2 linked regions of the Nothobranchius furzeri genome follow. Each later gene encodes a partner of the first gene's protein in a complex. Links are inferred from orthologs where the notes say so. Each region holds a gene or a part of one and is shown in the gene's direction. Other genes may lie near its edges.

Evidence for each region.
Region 2: exosc9 (region 1) and exosc5 share a complex: the UniProt entries of both Homo sapiens proteins name them as parts of the RNA exosome core complex. The link is inferred for Nothobranchius furzeri from reciprocal best matches to the Homo sapiens genes EXOSC9 and EXOSC5.

Annotation. Positions count from the first base shown.
Region 1 is NC_091746.1:81,903,024-81,913,994, reverse strand, and holds exosc9 (exosome complex component RRP45), read left to right. Parts: upstream 1-292; 5' UTR 293-391; coding exon 392-457; intron 458-722; coding exon 723-817; intron 818-3,312; coding exon 3,313-3,432; intron 3,433-3,556; coding exon 3,557-3,659; intron 3,660-4,318; coding exon 4,319-4,456; intron 4,457-4,538; coding exon 4,539-4,621; intron 4,622-4,696; coding exon 4,697-4,829; intron 4,830-7,565; coding exon 7,566-7,654; intron 7,655-7,740; coding exon 7,741-7,890; intron 7,891-7,980; coding exon 7,981-8,156; intron 8,157-8,234; coding exon 8,235-8,310; intron 8,311-8,394; coding exon 8,395-8,458; 3' UTR 8,459-8,557; downstream 8,558-10,971. Other genes in the region: caspase-6, read left to right, coding at 10,058-10,088, 10,337-10,378. UniProt on the Homo sapiens protein: Non-catalytic component of the RNA exosome complex which has 3'->5' exoribonuclease activity and participates in a multitude of cellular RNA processing and degradation events.
Region 2 is NC_091753.1:58,575,727-58,586,163, forward strand, and holds exosc5 (exosome complex component RRP46), read left to right. Parts: upstream 1-1,309; 5' UTR 1,310-1,369; coding exon 1,370-1,469; intron 1,470-2,069; exon of another isoform or gene 2,070-2,169; coding exon of another isoform or gene 2,170-2,188; intron 2,189-2,627; coding exon 2,628-2,741; intron 2,742-6,464; coding exon 6,465-6,586; intron 6,587-6,655; coding exon 6,656-6,796; intron 6,797-8,123; coding exon 8,124-8,213; intron 8,214-8,314; coding exon 8,315-8,410; 3' UTR 8,411-8,506; downstream 8,507-10,437. UniProt on the Homo sapiens protein: Non-catalytic component of the RNA exosome complex which has 3'->5' exoribonuclease activity and participates in a multitude of cellular RNA processing and degradation events.

The DNA of each region.
Region 1 (10,971 bases):
AAACGACTTAAAATTATTAATTAAATCGTTGAATTTAGTTAAAAAGAAAAAGGCAGATTTGTTTATTTCCTTTGTAGAAGATTTTGAGTTAGTAAGTTAATAATCTGTTAATTATGTGACCCCATCTTTAGATTTTCTTTTTTTCATATACGTGAAAATGTTTAATATGCATGTAATGATTATCGTTTGAATATATAATGTACGGTGCATTTTGTTTGTATGTTATCTTCTCTAAAAAAAAAAGAAAAAAAAAAGATTTGGGTTCATTTGCGACATACGGTAAAGCCGTATATTGTTTCGTCGCGCATGCGCGAATTGCGTAAATAGGTGGTTCCCGCATGTCAGTTGAGAATAATTTGATTTTCACCAGAAACAGCAAATAACAACAATCATGAAAGAAACGCCGCTTTCCAACTGCGAGCGAGACTTCTTACTGAGAGCAATCGAAGAGAAAAAGGTGCGTTTTAAAACGTTTATCATCAAAGTAGCTAAGAAAACAACCTCCACATCCAGAACGTTGAATGGAAAAACTGAAAAAAATCCGTGCTTCTATTCATGATTGTATCTTTAGAAGTGAGAATTCACACCAAAATTGTCACAGAAATGTTTAAGATAAAAACGTTGTAACCGAAATTAAGTCATTTAATTTTCCAAGTTCCAACTATTGTTTTTGAAGAAACTAGCTAAAGTTCTGTTTACTGTTTTTTGTTCGTGTCTTTTAGCGGCTCGATGGACGACAGACCTATGACTACAGAAAGTTGAAAATCACTTTTGGGACTGATTATGGATGCTGCTTTGTGGATCTGGGGCAAACCAGGTGATTCTGGGGTTTGGTAATGTGATGAAAGCTGCTGAATGATTCTAATACTGACTAACATGTTGTCTCTAAAATCAACACGAGGAACTGTTAGGGTCAAAAATCCTTGGGAGTGCAACCTTCATCAAAATAACAAGAACATCAGATTCCCTTTCATCCCTTGCAATGAGTGAAGAGATAAACATGTAAAAGAACAACGTTTATTAATGCTGAAAGTTTTGTAACTATTAGTTACAAATCAGTGAATGCATTCTGTCCTCACGGGCTTCCGTAAAAGGAAACATGGCATCCAATATTGTGTCACCCAGAGACTTAGACCCACTCCTATGCATTTTAAACCCAATTTTTATGGCTATACAGTGGGGCAAAAAAGTATTTAGTCAGCCACCGATTGTGCAAGTTCTCCCACTTAAAATGATGACAGAGGTCAGTAATTTACATCATAGGTACACTTCAACTGTGAGAGACAGAATGTGAAAAAAAATCCATGAATTCACATGGAAGGATTTTTAAAGAATTTATTTGTAAATCAGGGTGGAAAATAAGTATTTGGTCAATAACAAAAATTCAACTCAATACTTTGTAACATAACCTTTGTTGGCAATAACAGAGGTCAAACGATTACTATAGGTCTTTACCAGGTTTGCACACACAGTAGCTGGTATTTTGGCCCATTCCTCCATGCAGATCTTCTCGAGAGCAGTGATGTTTTGGGGCTGTCGCCGAGCAACACGGACTTTCCACTCCCTCCACAGATTTTCTATGGGGTTGAGGTCTGGAGACTGGCTAGGCCACTCCAGGACTTTCAAATGCTTCTTACGGAGCCACTCCTTTGTTGCCCGGGCGGTGTGTTTGTGATCATTGTCGTGTTGGAAGACCCAGCCACGTTTCATCTTCAAAGCTCTCACTGATGGAAGGAGGTTTTGGCTCAGAATCTCACGAAACATGGCCCCATTCATTCTGTCCTTAACACGGATCAGTCGTCCTGTCCCCTTAGCAGAAAAACAGCCCCAAGCATGATGTTCCCACCCCCATGCTTCACAGTAGGTATGGTGTTCTTGGGATGCAACTCAGTATTCTTCTTCCTCCAAACACGACGAGTTGAGTTTATACCAAAAAGTTCTACTTTGGTTTCATCTGACCACATGACATTCTCCCAATCCTCTGCTGTATCATCCATGTGCTCTCTGGCAAACTTCAGACAGGCCTGGACATGCACTGGCTTCAGCAGCGGAACACGTCTGGCACTGCAGGATTTGATTCCCTGACGTTGTAATGTGTTACTGATGGTGACCTTTGTTACTGTGGTCCCAGCCCTCTGCAGGTCATTCACCAGGTCCCCCCGTGTGGTTCTGGGATTCTTGCTCACCGTTCTCATGATCATTTTGACCCCACGGGATGAGATCTTGCGTGGAGCCCCAGATCGAGGGAGATTATCAGTGGTCTTGTATGTCTTCCATTTTCTGATAATTGCTCCCACAATTGATCTTTTCTCACCAAGCTGCTTGCCTATTGTAGATTCACTCTTCCCAGTCTGGTGCAGGTCTACAATTCTTTTCCTGGTGTCCTTCGAAAGCTCTTTGGTCTTGGCCATAGTGGAGTTTGGAGTCTGACTGTTTGAGGCTGTGGACAGGTGTCTTTTATACAGATAATGAGTTCAAACAGGTGCCATTAATACAGGTAATGAGTGGAGGACAGAAAAGCTTCTTAAAGAAGACGTTACAGGTCTGTGAGAGCCAGAGATTTTCCTTGTCTGAAGTGACCAAATACTTATTTTCCACCCTGATTTACAAATAAATTCTTTAAAAATCCTGCCATGTGAATTCATGGATTTTTTTTCCACATTCTGTCTCTCACAGTTGAAGTGCACCTATGATGTAAATTACTGACCTCTGTCATCATTTTAAGTGGGAGAACTTGCACAATCGGTGGCTGACTAAATACTTTTTTGCCCCACTGCATGTTATGAAACAACCACTATTTGTCAACAACTGGGCACTTTTTAATTCATTTACAACATTTCAATGGATATTTCCAGAGATTAATGGTAAAAACTACACATTGTCACTTTAATATAATCTAGAATCGACCCTTGTCTGTGACCTTTAGATGCTTTTAAGGGTTTGTCCCTCCAAGAGAAAAGAGTTAGCAGCATGGAAATGTCTCTGTCCGTCAGTCATCTCTCCTCCCGTTTCTCTTTGTTCCGTGCACCAGTACCACAACATGACACCACCTCTGCCGTGCACGACAGTTGCTTCAGAGTTCTTTAGTCTGAAATCCTCACAGTGATCCGGCGCACCCGTGTGGGAAGCAAAGGTTTCAGTTTGGAGCAAGAGCCCCGCTCACGTTGATGTTGAGACTTGGTGGTTTCTGGGTTGTCCCTGAACATTAAAAGCAGTTTCCTTTCTCCTGAGGGTGACGGATGAATCCAATAAGGGCAGATTTACACGACAAGCATGTCCACGAGGAGTAAACTGTTTCTGACCTCTTCTCAGGGTCATGGCTCAGGTGTCGTGTGAGTTGGTGGCGCCTAAAGAGAACCGGCCCACTGAGGGAATCCTGTTCTTCAACATCGAGCTGTCACCCATGGCCTCGCCATCGTTCGAGCAGGGCCGGTGAGGACGACTTGTGTGTTTGTTTTCATCCCCTCCTGTTTAACGACGCTGATTCATTACACGCTGTAATGTGGAGCCGGCCTGCTGGAGCAGAAAATCATCCGTGGGATTTGTGTCCCTGCAGACAGTCGGAGCTGTCGGTGAAGCTGAACAGACAGCTGGAGAGGTGCCTGAGGAACTCCAAGTGCATCGATACTGAGTCGCTGTGTGTGGTGTCTGGAGAGAAGGTGACAGAAAGCCAGGATACACAAACACACACCACCTCCTGGCAGATTACCAAGCTGTTTTTGAGCTTTTCCTCACGTCATTGTTCATGTTTAGTCATTCAGCAGACGCTTTAATCCTAAACAGGTTTTCACCTAAGATGCAAAAGTCCCCAGAGACTCTTCTGGCTCACTGCTGCAGAAATGACTCGACTTCAGTATAAAAGCATTAGAGGAAATCTGCAGTTATTAGGAAAACACTCATGTGTTATTTAATATTTATGACGTGTGTGTGTATATATATATATATAGAGAGAGAGAGAGAGAGAGAGAGAGAGAGAGAGAGAGAGAGAGAGAGAGAGAGAGAGAGAGAGAGAGAGAGAGAGAGAGAGAGAGAGAGAGAGAGAGAGAGAGAGAGAGAGAGAGAGAGAGAGAGAGAGAGAGAGAGAGAGAGAGAGAGAGAGAGAGAGAGAGAGAGAGAGAGAGAGAGAGAGAGAGAGAGAGAGAGAGAGAGAGAGAGAGAGAGAGAGAGAGAGAGAGAGAGAGAGAGAGAGAGAGAGAGAGAGAGAGAGAGAGAGAGAGAGAGAGAGAGAGAGATGCAAAATGTTCTTGCTGATGGAAGATGATGATGATGATGATGATGATGATGATAGTGGTGGTGGTGCTGCTGTCTCTGTGATCAGGTGTGGCAGGTCAGAGTGGATGTTCACACCCTGAACAACGATGGAAACCTGATGGATGCCGCCAGCGTAGCCGCCATCACGGCTCTGTGCCACTTCAGGCGTCCTGACGTAGCGATCCAGGGAGAAGAAGTGACGGTGGTGAGCCAGCAGGAAGCACAACTCCGCAGAGGAGCTACTTTAAACTCGGCTTTCTCTTACTCAGACATCTTAATCTCCTCAGTTCAGTCCAGAGGAGAGAGACCCGATCCCTCTGAGCGTCTACCACATGCCCATCAGTGTCAGCTTTGCCTTCTTTCAACAGGGGTAAAACAATGCAACGTTTACTGATCTAGAACAACAATACACAACAACAACACGAGCACATTCTTGTCCCTGTAGAACATTTCTGCTGGTGGACCCATGTGAGCGCGAGGAGCGAGTAATGGACGGCTTGTTGATGATCGCTATGAACAAACACAGAGAGATCTGCTCCATCCAGTCCAGCGGGGGCATCATGCTGCTCAAAGACCAGGTCAGCACATTCTAGAACCGGGATGTTCAAATTGTGGCCTGTGGGCCATTTGCAGCCTTCACAATGAATTTTTGTGGTCCCCAAATTGCATTTCTCAAATAATGACTTTAGTTTCTCTGGTTGGCTGTTCACGTAGATTGATTCTGTCTGACATTTTGTGTTCACAATTTTACTAAAATTCTTAATTTGACACTATTTGGAGGAGTACAAATAAAACTAAATCACCATAAAAATAACTTTTACATTTTTCAAACAGAAAAAAAAACAAATTTTTGTGAGCCACAAGGACCAACAATGTGATGATTTTGACCCTCGTTCTGAAAAGTTCTAGAATAACAGTTTTTCTATCATTTCGGCCCCTAGTTTCCTTAACTTCTCAGTTTAACGAGCACTGCCTCTCCATTCTGGACAACATCTGTCCTGTCAGAACCAGATCAGTTCCTGCAGTGAACCCTACTCCCTGGTTTAATGACAGCCTTCGCAGCCTAAAGCGCCAATGAAGAAAAATTGAGCACTTATGGAAGAAAACCCATCTCCACGTCCATCTGCTGCACCTAAAGGATCTTCTGACATCCTTTAACTCTGCAGTCAGAGATGCTACGGTTTCCTGTTTCTCCAACCTGGTGTCCCAGAGCAAAGGGAACCCCAAGGTGCTGTTTAACACCATCAGCAGCATCGTCTCTCCTGCCTCTCCTACAGCCTCCATCCACTCTGTTGCAGACTGTGAGAACTTTCTGTCTTTCTTTGTGGACAAAGTCAGTAAGGATAGATCTAGCATCTCTCCTTCAGCCTTATCACCGCCTCTCCCGACTCCAACCAGGCCCATCATCCTAGATAGCTTTGCTCCTGTTTCTTTGCCTGAGTTAACCAAACTAGTTAACTCTATGAAGACCTCTGCATGCCCCCTCGATCGGTCCCAGCATGCTCTCTATAACTAATGCTTCTCTGGTCTCTGGTCAGGTCCCTGCCTACTTTAAGAACGCTGTAATCCACCCGCTTCTTAAAACACCGAGTCTCGACCCCTCTCTCCATAGCAGCTTCAGACCCATCTCTAAACTTCCGTTCATCTCCAAGATCTTGGAAAAGGTTGTGGCTAAACAACTCACAGCTGCTCTTGATGAACAGAACATCTATGATAGCTTCCAGTCAGGTTTTCGTAGAGTTCATTCTACTGAAACCGCTCTTCTTAGGGTCTCTAATGACCTTCTGACTCACAGTGATGCAGGGTTCTGGTTCTGGTCCTGCTGGACCTGACTGCAGCCTTTGACACTGTTGACCATCACCTGCTACTGGAGAGGCTGAGAGACTGGGTAGGCCTATCAGGATCTGCTCTGGAGTGGTTCTCCTCTTATCTCTCTGAGGGCTCCTTTTCTGTGGCAGTCTCCAAGTTTAGGTCCTCCACCACCTCCCTTACCCATGGTGTCCCACAAGGTTCTGTGCTGGGGCCTCTGCTCTTCCTCCTCTGTCTGCTTCCTCTTCAGCACATCCTGAGCTCCTTCAAAGGAATCTCCTACCATCTTTACACAGATGACATCCAACTGTACATCTCCTTTAAGCCCCATGAGATGTCTAAGCTGCAGCTGTTACACACCTGCTTAGACTCTATCAAAACCTGGATGGTGGGAGCTTTCTTCAGCTGAATGAAGATAAGACTGAGATCCTCATCTGTGCCCCAGACAAGCTGGTTCCCAAAGTCAGAGACTCTCTTGGTCAGCTTGCTTCCCACACCAAACCCTCCGTCAGGAATCTTGGCGTGACCTTTGACCCAGCTCTCACCCTGGATTCTCATGTCAGTTCTCTTGTTGGCTCTTCCTTCTTCCATCTCAGGAACGTTGCTAAGCTGAGTCCCATTCTGTCCCGCTCTGAACTTGAGACGGTTCTCCACTCCTTCATCTCCTCACGCTTAGACTACTGTAACTCTCTTTTCACGTGTCTGAGCAGAACCTCCCTGAACCGTCTACAGGTGGTTCAGAACGCCTGTGCTCGGCTTCTGACCAAGTCCTCCAAACACACCCACATCACCCCGCTTCTCCTCCAGCTTCACTGGCTGCCAGTCAACTTCAGGGTTCATTTCAAGATCCTGGTTCTGGTCTATAGGGCCTTACATGGACAAGCACCATCTTACATTGGTGATCTTCTTAGTCCCTACACCCCCAGCAGGTCCCTGAGGTCCAGTGATCAAAGCCTACTGGTTGTGCAGCACCAGGCCAAAGACCAAAGGTGACAGATCATCTGCTGCTGTCGCCCCCAGACTCTGGACCTCTCTCACCCTGAGCCTGAGATCAGTGGACTCAGTGGTCTCCTTTAAAAAGCAGCTGAAGACTCACTTGTTCAAGCTGGCTTTTGTATGACCTTCTTCACCTCTCTCTCTTTATTCTGCTCTCCCCACCTATTCCACCTTCCTCAGGATCCACTGATTTCCCTCTTTCCTATTCACTCTCTCTTTCTTAACATTTTTTTGATCACAATTGTCTATTTTTTGCTCATTTTAAATATATTTTTAACCATTTTCTAAATTGTTTTTTATATTTTAACATTTTTGTTTTTGTGAAGCGCCTTGTGATTTTTATCTTGAGAGGTGCTATAGAAATGATATTTTCTTCTTCTTCTTCTTCTTGTGACTCCCACGTGTCAGTCTGAAGTATATTTAGAAGGAATTCTTTGAAAAAAGACTTTGTTTAATAATTTAATTCCTAGTTGAATCCATCAGCATGTTTTTGCTCTGTGTTGTTGTAGGTTATGAGATGCAGTAAAATAGCCAGCGTCAAAGTGTCTGAAATCACTGAACTCATCAGTCAAGCCTTGTTAAATGACAAGGCTGCCAGGTGAGTGGCTGTCTCCTATTTATTACTACATTACCCACAATTCCCTTTAGAGGCTACATTTGAATGATGTGTTTGAAACGTTCCAGGAAGGCAGGTGGTAAATGTGGCTTTGCCGAGTCCATGCCTCAGGATCGGATCACAGCTCTGAAAATGGACCAGACCGATGTAGAGATGACCAACGTGAGCCAAACAGGAAGTGGGGTGATCCTCCAGGGAGATGAAGCCCCGCCCCCAACGTATCCTGAACTGAAATGAAAGGACAAAAAAGGAACGGCATTTGTTTTTGTTTCTGACAGTTAGTCTCCCTAACCACACACCCATACCAGAGTCCCATCCCCAGTGGTGCCGGTGCCAGGTGTTGGTCAGGTGGGTCAGGGTCTGCAGAGCTGGGGACTGGAGGAGGAAGAAGAAGATGATGATGATGAGGAGGAGGAGAGCAGTGGAGATGACCAAGTGGAAGAAGTGACACAGATAAAACTGTCAGAAAAAGACAAGAAAGAAGGTTATTTGTTTTCATAACTAAAAGTCATGGAAGAAGAAAAAAAATTATAATTGAACTTTAATGTGTTTTGTCTTACAGCAGCTGTGGTGGAGATTTCAGACAGTGAGGAAGAGGAGGTGGTCATACTTTATCCAGAGACGACAGAGAAATCAAAGTAACATCTATTTGTTTGATATGAAGCCGAGGAGGTTGATAAATTAAACTAATCTCACCGGTTTCTGATTTTTTTCTTCTTCAGGAATTCTGGGTCCAGATCTGACCAGAAGGGGGCAGCAGCATCCAAGAAACGCCAGAAGAAATGACCGCAGCTTGAAACCGAAACAGAGAAAATACTACAATAATATGATATCGAAAAAGGCTTAAAACTGATTCAAATAAATTTATTTTTTACATTTCTAGAATCATTGTTGCGCGAATCAAAAGTTTGTCCATCATATGTCACTCATAAGAAACTTAAATAAGTCATGAGTCAGGTTCACGATAACACACGAGATTCACGCTTAGACAAAAATTCACCGTGTAGATGTGATGGTGGAGTGATAAAAAAAACAAACCAATTTACGTTAAAAATAATCAGGTTCCACCGAGATTTGAACTCGGATCGCTGGATTCAGAGTCCAGAGTGCTAACCATTACACCATGGAACCATACTGGCATCGTCGGGCGAACTCCTTCCTATTGAAAAGCAGCAGAGACATACTGTTAATTTGTTTCTGTTTAGGTTTGCAGACACAACAGATATCTTTCGTTAAATGAATGCCAGTAGCACATTGAATTGCCTCTGTGTATGAAATGTGCAATATAAATAAAGCTGCCTTGCCTAGTGAAATGCGTTGTGGAGTCCTCTGGCGTCACATAAGTGCAGATCATTTATGGTTAAAATAATGACGGATTTGGACAGAGTAAAAATAACTAAGTGGCCCGTACGGGGATCGAACCCGCGACCTTGGCGTTATTAGCACCACGCTCTAACCAACTGAGCTAACCGGCCGTGATGAGATCTGATGACAGGTTTTGTTAAATAGAAGGAATGTAGTCATCAGTTTTTTGAAGTAGTTTTTGCTTACCGTGGTTAGTTGAAACGCAACTGTGTGTGCTCAGCTTTTGACCAAATACTCAAAACACACCCACATCACCCCACTTCTCCTCCAGCTTCACTGGCTGCCAGTCAACTTCAGGGTTAATTTCAAGATCCTGGTTCTGGTTTTTAGGGATCTTCTCAGTCCTCACACCCCCAGCAGGTCCCTGAGGTCCATTGACCAACTGAGGTCCAAATACCACTGGTTGTTCAGCACACCAGGCTAAAGGTCAAAGGCTGGCCCCCAGAATCTGGAACTCTCTCCCCCTGAGCCTGAGATCAGTGGACTCAGAGCTCTCCTTTAAAAAGAAGCAGAACACTCACCTATTCAGGCTGGCTTTGGTGTGATCTTTGGTTGATTCTTCATCACTACCTTCTCCTCATTCAGCTCTTTCTACCAATTCTGCCTTAGCTAATTATGGCAGATGTAATGCATAACAGAAACAGAGAAGCTAAAAAGGTCTTTTTTTTTATTATATTTTTGACTGTAGTTTTCATGGTTTTTCTGTAACATAATGCTGTAATTTCCTTTGATTTGTTTTCTTTGTTCACATTTTGTAACCCCTCTTCCTGTTTATAAACAAGTGAACTTTACGAAACTTGAAAAGATTCATTCAACTTTTACGTCTTTTGGTATAAGGAATGTCAAAATAAGAACTTAACGTTTCCTTCCGCCTTGCTTTTTGACTGACAGTTCCCAGGACCAATCGTGTATTGATATTTGTATTGAGCCAATCACATCCTAGGGGCGGGGCCAGACGTGAGTTGGTTCTCTTCTTGTTCGGGTTCGGTGTTAGAATCGGAAATTTAAAGTTCTGTGAACATGTCTAACAAGTCGGAGGCTAGCAGCGGAGGTAAAAATTTTAATACATCTGTAATTCAAAACCTTGACATGTCTTTACTGTTTCTAGCCATTCTAACCTGCTTTTACTTTTCAATGTTATTTAGCTTCCAGTTAAACTTATTGTGCTGTTATACAAAGAAAGTGAGATTTCTTTAGCTTGATAAATTCACCATATAAGTTTTATTCTATAATGTCGGTCAGGTCATTTCTTTTTGAGGATCTAAGAGTTTTTCTTTGTTGTCTGACACACCCTACCAGGAAGTGCTGCAAATGACAGTAAGACAACCACTGACAGCAAAGGTGAGTAACCTTTAAACGTGCGGGTTGTACCTCAGTCAGAACAAAAGTGAAACAATGCAATCTATTTATTGTATAAGTAAATTATTAATAAAAGGGTTCAGGTTGTTTTCAGATGTTTCATGTGGGTAATTTAATCTCTCATGCTCTGTATAGGTTTATTGTAGGTTTACCTGAGTGCTTTCAGTATGAAGTGAAAACGGAACAAGTTAGTAAATCTCATAATAAAACCTCTGAGTTCACATTTTATGAGGGTTTGTCCTGTTGCTGACATGCAGAGCAAGTTTTTTTTTAATCATAAATCTTGCAGCAGTGTAAACACCGCCATTATACTGTTGGGCAGTCCAGACGAACTGTGTGTGAAAACAATGGGACCTGTTAAAAAAATGAGGTGCGAACAAAGCAGATGAGTTTATTTTTTAAACTGATACAACTATGTAATAAGTTATTGAACTTGAACACAACAGTATATTCCAAGGTGCTTGTAATTCTAACAAGCTAAAAACAAATAAGAAGTGTCAGTCTTAACATGACAAAATATGAAAGCTATTGAGAAGTCATGTTAAAAAAAACTAAATCAAAGATGTTTGATTAAA
Region 2 (10,437 bases), on another chromosome or scaffold:
CATTTTCACCTTCTCAGAGATGATATGGAGTTTTCATGCATGACATAAGAGACAAAAGAGATATCCGTGTGTCTTGCATGTGCAACACAGATTAGTACCTGGTGTTTTGCTGTTTGGTTTAGTTTACCAATCTATGTCATCAATTACATGTAAAATAAAATCATCAGCATTGATGTTTGTCTTAAAATCTCAGTCAACGTCAGTTATCGTCACTAGGGCTATGGGGGAGCTGGATTATGTCTCAGACTTAGAAAGGCAGGCTACACACACACATCTATATAAATATATATATATATATATTTGTTTATATCTATATGTGTGTGTGTGTGTATGAATAAATATATATTTATTTATTTATATCTGTGTGTGTATAAATATATATAATTATACTTCTATGTAGTTAGTATTTAGGATTTATTATATTTAACACATGATACATATAAAGTAAGTGAAATTTATATACCACTCATCACAGACAAAATCACAAAGTGCTTCACACAGATCAAAACTAAGTAATAACATCACAATGATCTTTATCAGACTTACATTAAAAACAAAATAGTAAAGTCATAAAATATGAAACAAGTTAATCCTCTGCCTTTGTGGTTCTGCAGCGAGCTCCACTTGGGTGCTGTGGGTCCTCCAAAGCACCCAGTCAACTATGATAATACTAGATTATACAGCCTACTTAGGCCCAGAAGGTCTGAAACAGGTTTTCATAGCACAGCAAACATATTCTGTGAAACATTTATGCTTTCAAGTATGTATTTAAAATATTTAAACCAATTACCAAAAACAAAATAAATAAAAAATAGAAAAACGAAGAAGCATTTTTTGCTATTGAAAATTTTACCTAAATTGTAAACATAAAGCAACAAAAACGGGTGTCCACTTGCGGAGCACCTGTCAGTTTTCTCAGAAGATCAAAATTTGAAGGCAAATAGAAGTAAAATGAATAAAGTAGTTGCTTTAACAAAAAACTACAACTTGCTTCACAAAGACAGCATCAAGTTAAACACGAAACCAGTAATGACGAACACAGCTTCTGGTTATTCACGCAGCATTCTAAAATGGTGTTTACAAATGAAAGAATGGGGTTTTGTCGCCCCCTAGTGGTTAACTGACAACTCGATGGATAGCGCTTTCCGTTTTGTACTTTCAAAATAAATAATGACTAAATAAACGATCAGAAGCATATATAAAAAAGATTATTGTTGAAAAATGTTACTTATGATCATAAAAAATTAAAACGCAAGACACCTATGTAATACGTTTTTGTAAGAAGTGTCAAATCGATGTCTCCGGTTTAACTTTGAAAGAACCGATGACGTAATTCCCCTGCGACAAACATATTCTCGAAGAAGGCGGCATGATGGAGGTTTCTGCTTCTAATAATGTTTCTCTCAGAGAGTTCGGCTGTGAACAGAATCTGCTGTCCAGACCGGACGGCTCGGCGTCGTTCGTCCAGGGTAACAATCATCATTTATGTCCGTGATTTGGTCTTTTATTCAGACTCAAACAGGCTGCGCGAGTCGCAGAGGAGCGCTGTTCGCCGAAAAGCATCTTAAAAGCAGAAGAAAGGAAGTGAATGTGTAAATATGAGGTTTGGTGTCGCGTGTTTAAACGCGTTTCCCTCGACTTAAACCCGTGGCCTTTACACCTTTGGTTGAAGTTTTCCTTTTTATGTTTGAAAATTGTCACAAAGCTTCTTTTTTTACGTTGAAAATAAATCAACCAGTGTTGTTCAGGCGTTTCACAGATTGGTGTTTTGTTTACCTTCTAGGTGTTTCTTACTTCACTCAGTTCAGTTCAAAAATACTTTATTAATCCCAGAGGGAAACTGATTGCTGTAGTAGCTCAGAATAATAATAATAATCAAGTCATCAAAGAGGTGTTGTATATTACAACGGCTGTTGGCAGGAAGGATCTCCAGTAGCGGTCAGTGTTGCAGCCAAACTGAAGAAGCCTCTGACTGAAGACACTCTTCCGTTGTCGGACAGTCTTGTGAAGAGAATGCTCAGGGTTGTCCATCATTTTCTTGATTCTCTGGAGAATCCTTCTTTGCTTTATCTCCTCCAGCGGTTCCGAAAATGCCGAAACTCTGGCTGAGTCCTCGAAAGGGCTTGGAGTTCCTCCATCTTGTTGGCCAGTGATCTCACATCGCCCATTATGATCGATGGAAGAGATGGTTTGAATTTCCTCTTTCTCCGTCTCCGTCCCGCTCCCGCTCTGCACCCACGCTTCTTTTGTTTTAGCTCATTTGGGATTTGTGGCTTCAGTCGAGGTGTTATTTCAGCCTTTCCAATGTTAATCAGCTGCTCCCGATTGTAAACCAGCTTGTTGCCATGGTTACACATCATAACAAATGCTAAAAAAGTGAAAAAATTGCAGAAAAAATCCTCCAATCTTCACAGCACCAGAAACAGAAAAGTAAAATGTCAAAAAATACAGTTTTTCTTGAGAAACTAGAAGAAAAAATGTCCAAAAAAGGCAAAACTTCCATATAGTCAACAGAGCTACTCCAACATGCAGCCACCCAGAGCAGCGCAGTTCTGGAATGAAATGAATGCTTCTGTAAAATTAGAAATATACTAATAACCGTTTACCTTGTTTGTTTGTTTTCAAAGGGGATACGAGTGTGATGGCCGGCGTTTACGGGCCTGCTGAGGTCAAAGTCAGTAAAGAAATCTATGATCGGGCCACTCTGGAGGTGTTGCTTCAGCCTAAAGTGGGACCAGCAGGTAGTTTATTTTCCAGAATGGAAAACAAATGAATTATTGTCATTTTTGTTTTGTTTTCTTAAACCAAACACTTTTAAATATTAGATATGAGCCAAAATGTCAACAGGAACAGGTGTGTCACCAAACAAAAGGTGAACGCCGGGTTTCAGACACATTTTGGGCTGTTGCTGTTTGCAGAATCCTCACATCAAATACAACACCAAGTCATTTTATCAAAGCAGAAACGTGATGTACTCAGTCGTTTCCTTTTATGAGGGTTTTTACAAAAAAAAACTGGTGTCATCTCCTGTTTCATCTAAAACATAAACGTAATAAATCCCACTCCTAACAGGTACATTTTGCTCTACACTTGATGACCTTCGTGCACTTTTACCTTTAAAACTTTTGCAGCTATTGAATATTTTTGTAATCGAGTACTCTATCGAATCTTTTATCGATTAATCGAGTACTCTAATAAATTACCCTTTTGTGTTTATAAACTATTATTATTATTATAAACAAGATTTTCCCCTCGTGTGTGGATCTACCAGCCTGCAAGCCAGACAAAAACTAGGAGGATAACTGTTGAAGTAGCACAGCGAGCGGCTGCGGCCCAAACGGCACCAGAACCGCTCACGGCGCATGCACAAACATGGCTCGCCAGCTGTTTCCCTATGAACACACGTCCGTTTTAATTTCTACACTTTTTGTCTAACACTAACGAGGATTGTCGAGAAAGCATGTTTGCCGTGGTTTTGTCAAATTATACTGATCACAAAACATTTATTTACTTTCTTTTGTTTTCCTCATAAACACCCGTGTCCTCCTGCAGCGACCCCGAGGGACAACAGACGTCAATAACAACACAATAAAAAGTCTGACGTGTAAAAACTGCTATTTTTAGCACATTTTTAGATCCGACGTGTTGCTACCAGACGACAGTGTGAGCTGAAACTGAGCGCTACAAACGAAAAAGTCGCAAAGCGGACCTCCGAGTCCGCTTGCAGAAGTGACATTTACATATGGATGTTTCCTGGTCAGGTGCTGCAGCATGGAGGATGTGGTGTTGTGGTCGGCTACATCCATTTTACAGTATTTACTCTGGACTACGTTTCCCGCCTGACCACGTGAAAAATGCTCCCTCACCTTTGATATTTTGTGTCTTTTTCACACTCCACCGGGGTCCACGTCGTCCGCCATGGCTTAAGAGAAAGTTAGGTTACATTCGCTACTCGCGTGTGCGTTCAGTGCTGTGTGTATGTGCGTCACTTATTTCAGTCCGGGTGAAACGTGACCACGGGCGATTGCTAAGCCATGAATTAATTAAACATGAATTAAATGAAGTCTCGAGGCAGAGAGTTTGAGAATTGTACACGAATTATTCGAGGTACTCGAGGAATCGTTTCAGACCTAATCATGTGTGAAATCCATGGCACATAACAAGCAGAATTAGAAAATAGTGTCTTTAGCCCCGCTGACTTGCATTCATTGTTTTGTTCTTCTGGGGACCCGTGGTCCGGAAGTAGATGGGCGTGGCTTAGACTCCCTATGGAGCGCTGTCTGTCACCTATGATAGACTGTCACTATGGTAAAGCTATGGAATCTTGCGTTACCATAGTTACAGCTCAGGTGCATCATTTAAAATGCTTCATTATTAAGGCCAGAACTAGAGCTGCGGCTATCAAATATTTTTGTAATCGAGTACTCTAATAAATGACCCTTTTGTGTTTGTAAACCATTATATCAAATAGCATGTTATAAAATATGAAAGAGCTCCTAAAATTAGCACGCAATTGCCAGTTATTCTTCAAGTTTTATTCAAAATTAGTTTTCAAAACTTCAACTTTACTTCACAGTAAACAAACGCCTGTGCAAAAAATAAGTAAACAACCTGAGCCGGTTTTCTCCTCGTGTGGATCTACCAGCCTGCAAGCCAGACAAAAACTAGGAGGATAACTGTTGAAGTAGCACAGCGAGCGGCTGCGGCCCAAACAGAACCAGAACCGCTCACGGCGCATGCGCAAACATCTCGCCAGCTGTTTCCCTATGAACACACGTCCGTTTTAATTTCTGCACTTTTTGTCTAACACTAACGAGGATTGTCGAGAAAGCATGTTTGCCGTGGTTTTGTCAAATTATACTGATCACAAAACATTTATTTACTTTCTTTCGTTTTCCTCATAAACACCCGTGTCCTCCTGCAGCGACCCCGAGGGACAACAGAAGTCAATAACAACACAATGAAAAGTCTGACGTGTAAAAACTGCTATTTTTAGCACATTTTTAGATCCGACGTGTTGCTACCAGACGACAGTGTGAGCTGAAACTGAGCGCTACAAACGAAAAAGTCGCAAAGTGGACCTCCGAGACCGCTTGCAGAAGTGACATTTACATATGGATGTTTCCTGGTCAGGTGCTGCAGCATGGAGGATGTGGTGTTGTGGTGGGCTACATCCATTTTACAGTATTTACTCTGGACTACGTTTCCCGCCTGACCACGTGAAAAATGCTCCCTCACCTTTGATATTTTGTGTCTTTTTCACACTCCACCGGGGTCCACGTCGTCCGCCATGGCTTAAGAGAAAGTTAGGTTACATTCGCTTCTCGCGTGTGCGTTCAGTGCTGTGTGTATGTGCGTCACTTATTTCAGTCCGGGTGAAACGTGACCACGGGCGATTGCTAAGCCATGAATTAATTAAACATGAATTAAACGAAGCCTCGAGGCAGAGAGTTTGAGAATTGTACACGAATTTTTCGAGGTACTCGAGGAATCGTTTCAGACCTAGATGTAAGGAGAGTTGCCTAAAACATTTAGCACTTTTATAGCATTTTCCTCCTACCAGCTAACGGTAGAGTTTCTGCCCTGGGACTGGGCGATCAGGGGTCAAATCCACGGTCGGGTCGTACCAAAGACTTTAAAAATGTGACCCGATGCCTCCCTGCTTAACACTCAGCATTAAGAGGTTGTTTCGTGTGATTAAAGAGCAAGTCACCCCCTACCAGAGTCTTACTCCACTCCCACTTCCTGTTTGAACAATGCAACAAATGCTGTTGCCTAGCAGACCGAGAGGGTGGAGCCACTAACAAATACACACACACACAGGCTCACAACGACATTGTGACATCATATGGTACCAGCTAACGTTCTAGGGTACCTCTTAGCCAATAGCGATGGCAGATTTAAATTCAAATGCAGTGCAGAGTTTTTACCTGACAACGGCGCAACACTGACAGTTTTAGGCAGAAAATTAAAATTTTAACTAAAATGCACTAAAGTGCAAAACTATTGACAACACGTGTCTGCAGCACGATTAGACACGCATTTCTATAGTTTATCAGGAAAAAAAGCTGATTTGGGGGTGACTTGCTCTTTTAAACGACCAAATAGTTGCCGGGCGCAGACGTGTGTGCAGCTCACTGCTCCCTCAGGGATGGGTCGAATGCAGAGAACGAATTTCACCAGAGTGGTGATGATGATGATGATGATGGGGCTTTAATCTTTATAACAAAGCCCCAGAAGAGTTTCTAAAACATATTTAGTTGAGCGTCTTTAACACACACAAGTACAAAAACCTCTGCTGTTTAAAGTATTTAATCTCTTCTCAGTAACGTAATTATAACCCTAACGCCATAGCAACTTTACATCATGAAACGTGTTTTACCGTGGCACACCACAAGGGGGAGGCAGTGAGCTGCTTGTCTCTCTTCTTATCTCTGCTGATTCTCCCGTTTTGAATTTTCTAGGTGTGAGGGAGCAGTCACAGGAGCAGTGTGTGAGAGAAACGTGTGAGGCAGCTCTTCTCTTGTCTCTTCATCCTCGCTCCTCGCTGACCCTCATCCTTCAGGTGCTGCATGACGACGGCTCGGTATCCTTTACTAAAACTCCCCGGAGCCACTGGGGCGGAGCCTTTCTTCTTCCTTGACCTGCTCCTCAGCTCCTGTCCTGCTGCCTGAATGCGGCCTGCATGGCTCTGATGGATGCAGGCTTGTCCATGAGCTGTCTTTTCTGTGGAGTGACGTGCGCCATCGGTGCGGACGGTGACATCATCGCAGATCCCACAGCAGCTCAGGAGAAAGTAAATCTGAAAGGAATTTGAAGCAAATACTGAGACTCCTTTAGTTCTTTTCAGGTTTTAATTGATGCGAAGCTCTGATGAAGACGAGCCTGTAGAAAAACAGCTCCCAGGAATTCGGCACAGACGACCCCGGTGCAGTCGACATCATTTCAGCAGACCACACATCCATCCGTGGTTAAAAACCTGTGGGTGCTGACCTTTACTTACTTCACCTGCAGAGTTTCTCTCTGGGCCACGACTACATTTCCCAGGGAGTTTCCAAAATATCTCAAAATGTTTGCGAGAGGTTCTTAGCTTCCTCCTGAGTCGCAGGGCTTCGCACCTGGGTCTCTGGGTCTTTGTGGGTGTCCTGGAAGGATTCTGTTTAGTTTCTGTTTGAAATGTGAGACAACTTTGGGAGGAACCTGAGAAAAGACCTGAGAAGGCACGTTGTGACCGACTGGAGACCGAAAAGAGAGCATCCAAGCAACAATAACGAGGATAAATCACAAACAAGTTAAAGAGCAAGTCACCCCCTACCATACAAAACATACACACACACAGGCTCACAACGACATTGTGACATCATATGGTACCAGCTAACGTTCCAGGGTACCTCTTAGCCAATAGCGACGGCAGATTTAAATTCAACTGCAGTGCAGAGTTTTTACCTGACAACGGCACAACACTGACAGTTTTAGACAGAATATTTCAATTTTTACTAAAATGCATAAAAGTGCAAAACTGTTGATGACACGTGTCTGCAGCACGATTAGACACGCGTTTATATAGTTTATCAGAAAAACAAGCTGATTTGGGGGTGACTTGCTCTTTAAAGAGCAAGTCACCCCAAATAACCTTTTTTTTTGCTGATAAACTAAAGAAACGAGTGTCTAATCGTGCTGCAGACACGTGCCGTCAATAATTTGTCACTTCAGTGCATCTTAGTTAAAATTTAAATATTCTGCCTAAAACTGGCAGTGTTGTGCCGTTGTCAGGTAAAAACTCTGCATTGTATTCTAATTTAAATCTTCCACCACTATTGGCTAAGAGGTATGCTATGATGTAAACTGGTAGATTATGATGTCACAATGTCTGTGTGTGTGTATTTGTTAGCAGCTCCGCCCCCTTGGTCTGCCAGGCAACAGCATTTGTTGCATTTTTCAAACATGAAGTGGGAGTGGAGTTAGATTCTGGTAGGGGTTGACTTGCTCTTTAAGATATTTTAGGAAATACACAAAGTGTTTAGTGTGACTCAAACAGCTCATTTGGTAGTTCTGGGCCTCCAGCTGGTTGCTAATGGTAACAGCGCAGGCTAATGCTGACCTTTTGTTTTTTCTTCCGTAAGGAAAGTCGAGCGTTGATGACTTTCGCCATCGACAGCACAGAACGAAGAGTGATGATGTCATCGACCAAAGGTTCATTTTCGGTCCAGGAGGTGAGCGATGAAGCGGGCTGTGTGTGTTTGTGTTTCTAATTCCTTTACGGCTTCCTGTTCGTTCCTCTGACTCCGTCGTTTGTCTTTCCGTTCGTCCACAGCTGCAGGAATGTGTAGCCGTCAGCCAGAAAGCATCGGAGAAGGTCTTCCAGTTCTACAGAGACTCCGTGAGACGGCGCTACTCCAAAAACCTCTGATTCCCCCCCCCCCTTCCAAGTCTTCTTTTAATAGAAAGCATAAATATTCAGTTTTTATTAATTATTTTCAAATAAAAAGAGAGGAAAATCTTTTCATTTAAGTGCATTCATTAGGATTTATTGATTTAATTCAAATATTCACACTTGAGAGTGACCGAACCTCCGTCTGACTGACTCGATGGAAACGCCTTCGGGTTAGGGTGGATGGAAACCAGAGCGACAGGAATCTTTTATTTGTCCCACGACGCAACAAGGTTTGTTTCTGTAGGATGTTGAAGACGTGCAGGCACAGTGGAGCTGAATCATCTGACGAGAACAAGATGTCCTCCGCCTTCGTATGACAAAGCCAGTTATTTGTAGTCGGCTATGAAAACAGAACTGGGTTCTCTTTTCTGGACCGGGGGTCTCGTTGATCAAACGTTGCGTAGCATCCTTACTAAAACGTTCCATCTTTCCGTTCTTTTAAAAACAGAAAGGTTTTATTTACCTGCAGCGTTTCGTTTGCGGCTGCAAACTTTGTCAGAGCTGACGCCGATGGTGGCGTCACTTCCTACGTCGTTTATCCGCGGGCAGCAGAGGACGTTGTCGCCCTCTGCTGCCCGCTCTCCCCTCTGCGACGATGCAGTCCCAACGAGTAAACCCCATCGTCCCTGTTCATGGTCCCGCATCCACGTCTCCTTACCTCGATCGCTTCTTTTATCCATCTTTTGTGTTTCTGCTGTTTTGCCTTGTTGTTCTGCTCGTCTGAAGTTCAGCCTTGAGTTTTACGCATTTATGAAGGTTGTTCTCGTTCCACAGAAGCCACCAGGTTCGCTTTTCAAATATCTCTTCAGAAGGAAAATGACTCGTTTGAACATCTTATTTTGGCACTTTAGATCTGCAGCTAAAAACCACCTAAATGTTCTCAAAAGTAACATTTTTATTTAGAAATATTGCTGAATTATTTTAGATATTATGGCACTTTCTTCTGACAGGAGGCAAGAAAACACGTGAGAGGCAGTCCTCTCTGCAGGTAGACATGAGCTGATGCTGGCTGTGAGACGAGAGGAAACTTACGGAAGAGTTCTGGGATCTCTGGAGGAGATTTGGAAACTGCAGGAGTTCAGGGATTTATTTGGGATCTCTGCAGAATTTCTGGGAACTCTGTAAAAATTCAGAGATTTCTGGATGATTTCTGAGAGCACTGCAGGGGTTCTGGGATCTCTGGAGGATTCCTGGGAACTCTGCAGGGGTTCTGGGATCTCTGGAGGATTCTTGGGAACTCTGCAGGGGTTCTGGGATCTCTGGAGGATTCCTGGGAACTGCAGGGGTTCTGGGATCTCTGGAGGATTCCTGGGAACTCTGCAGGGGTTCTGGGATCTCTTGAGTATTCCTGGGAACTCTTCAGGAGCTCTGGGATCTTTGCAGGATTTCTGGGCTCTCTCAAAGATTTCTAGGATTTCTACAGAAGATCTGGAATCTGCAGGATTTCTGGGATCTCTGGAGGAGTTCTAGGATCTCTAGAGAATTTCTGGGACATCTGAAGGAGTTCTGGGATCTCTGGAGGATTCCTGGGAACTCTTCAGGAGCTCTGGGATCTTTGCAGGATTTCTGGCCTCTTTCAAAGATTTCTAGGATTTCTACAGAAGATCTGGAATCTTTGCAGGATTTCTGGGATCTCTGGAGGAGTTCTAGGATCTCTAGAGAATTTCTGGGACATCTGAAGGAGTTCTGGGATCTCTGGAGAAATCCTGGGAACTGCAGGGGTTCTTGAATCTCTGGAAGGTTTTTGGGATCACTGCAGGATTTTTGGGATCTATGAGTTTTCTGGGATTTTTGCAGGAAATCTGGGATCTATGGAGGACCTCATCTCCACCATATTGTTTAGGTCTCTGCTTCCGGCAGGATGGAGAAAACTAACACATTTTCTGTTTTCCTTATAAAGAACGGCTGCTGCAGCTCAGAGTGAAGCGACTGGAAGCTTCTGTCTTCCTCTCAGCTGACCATGAACAATGGAGTCTGACTGGGAATATTTTACAGATGTTTTA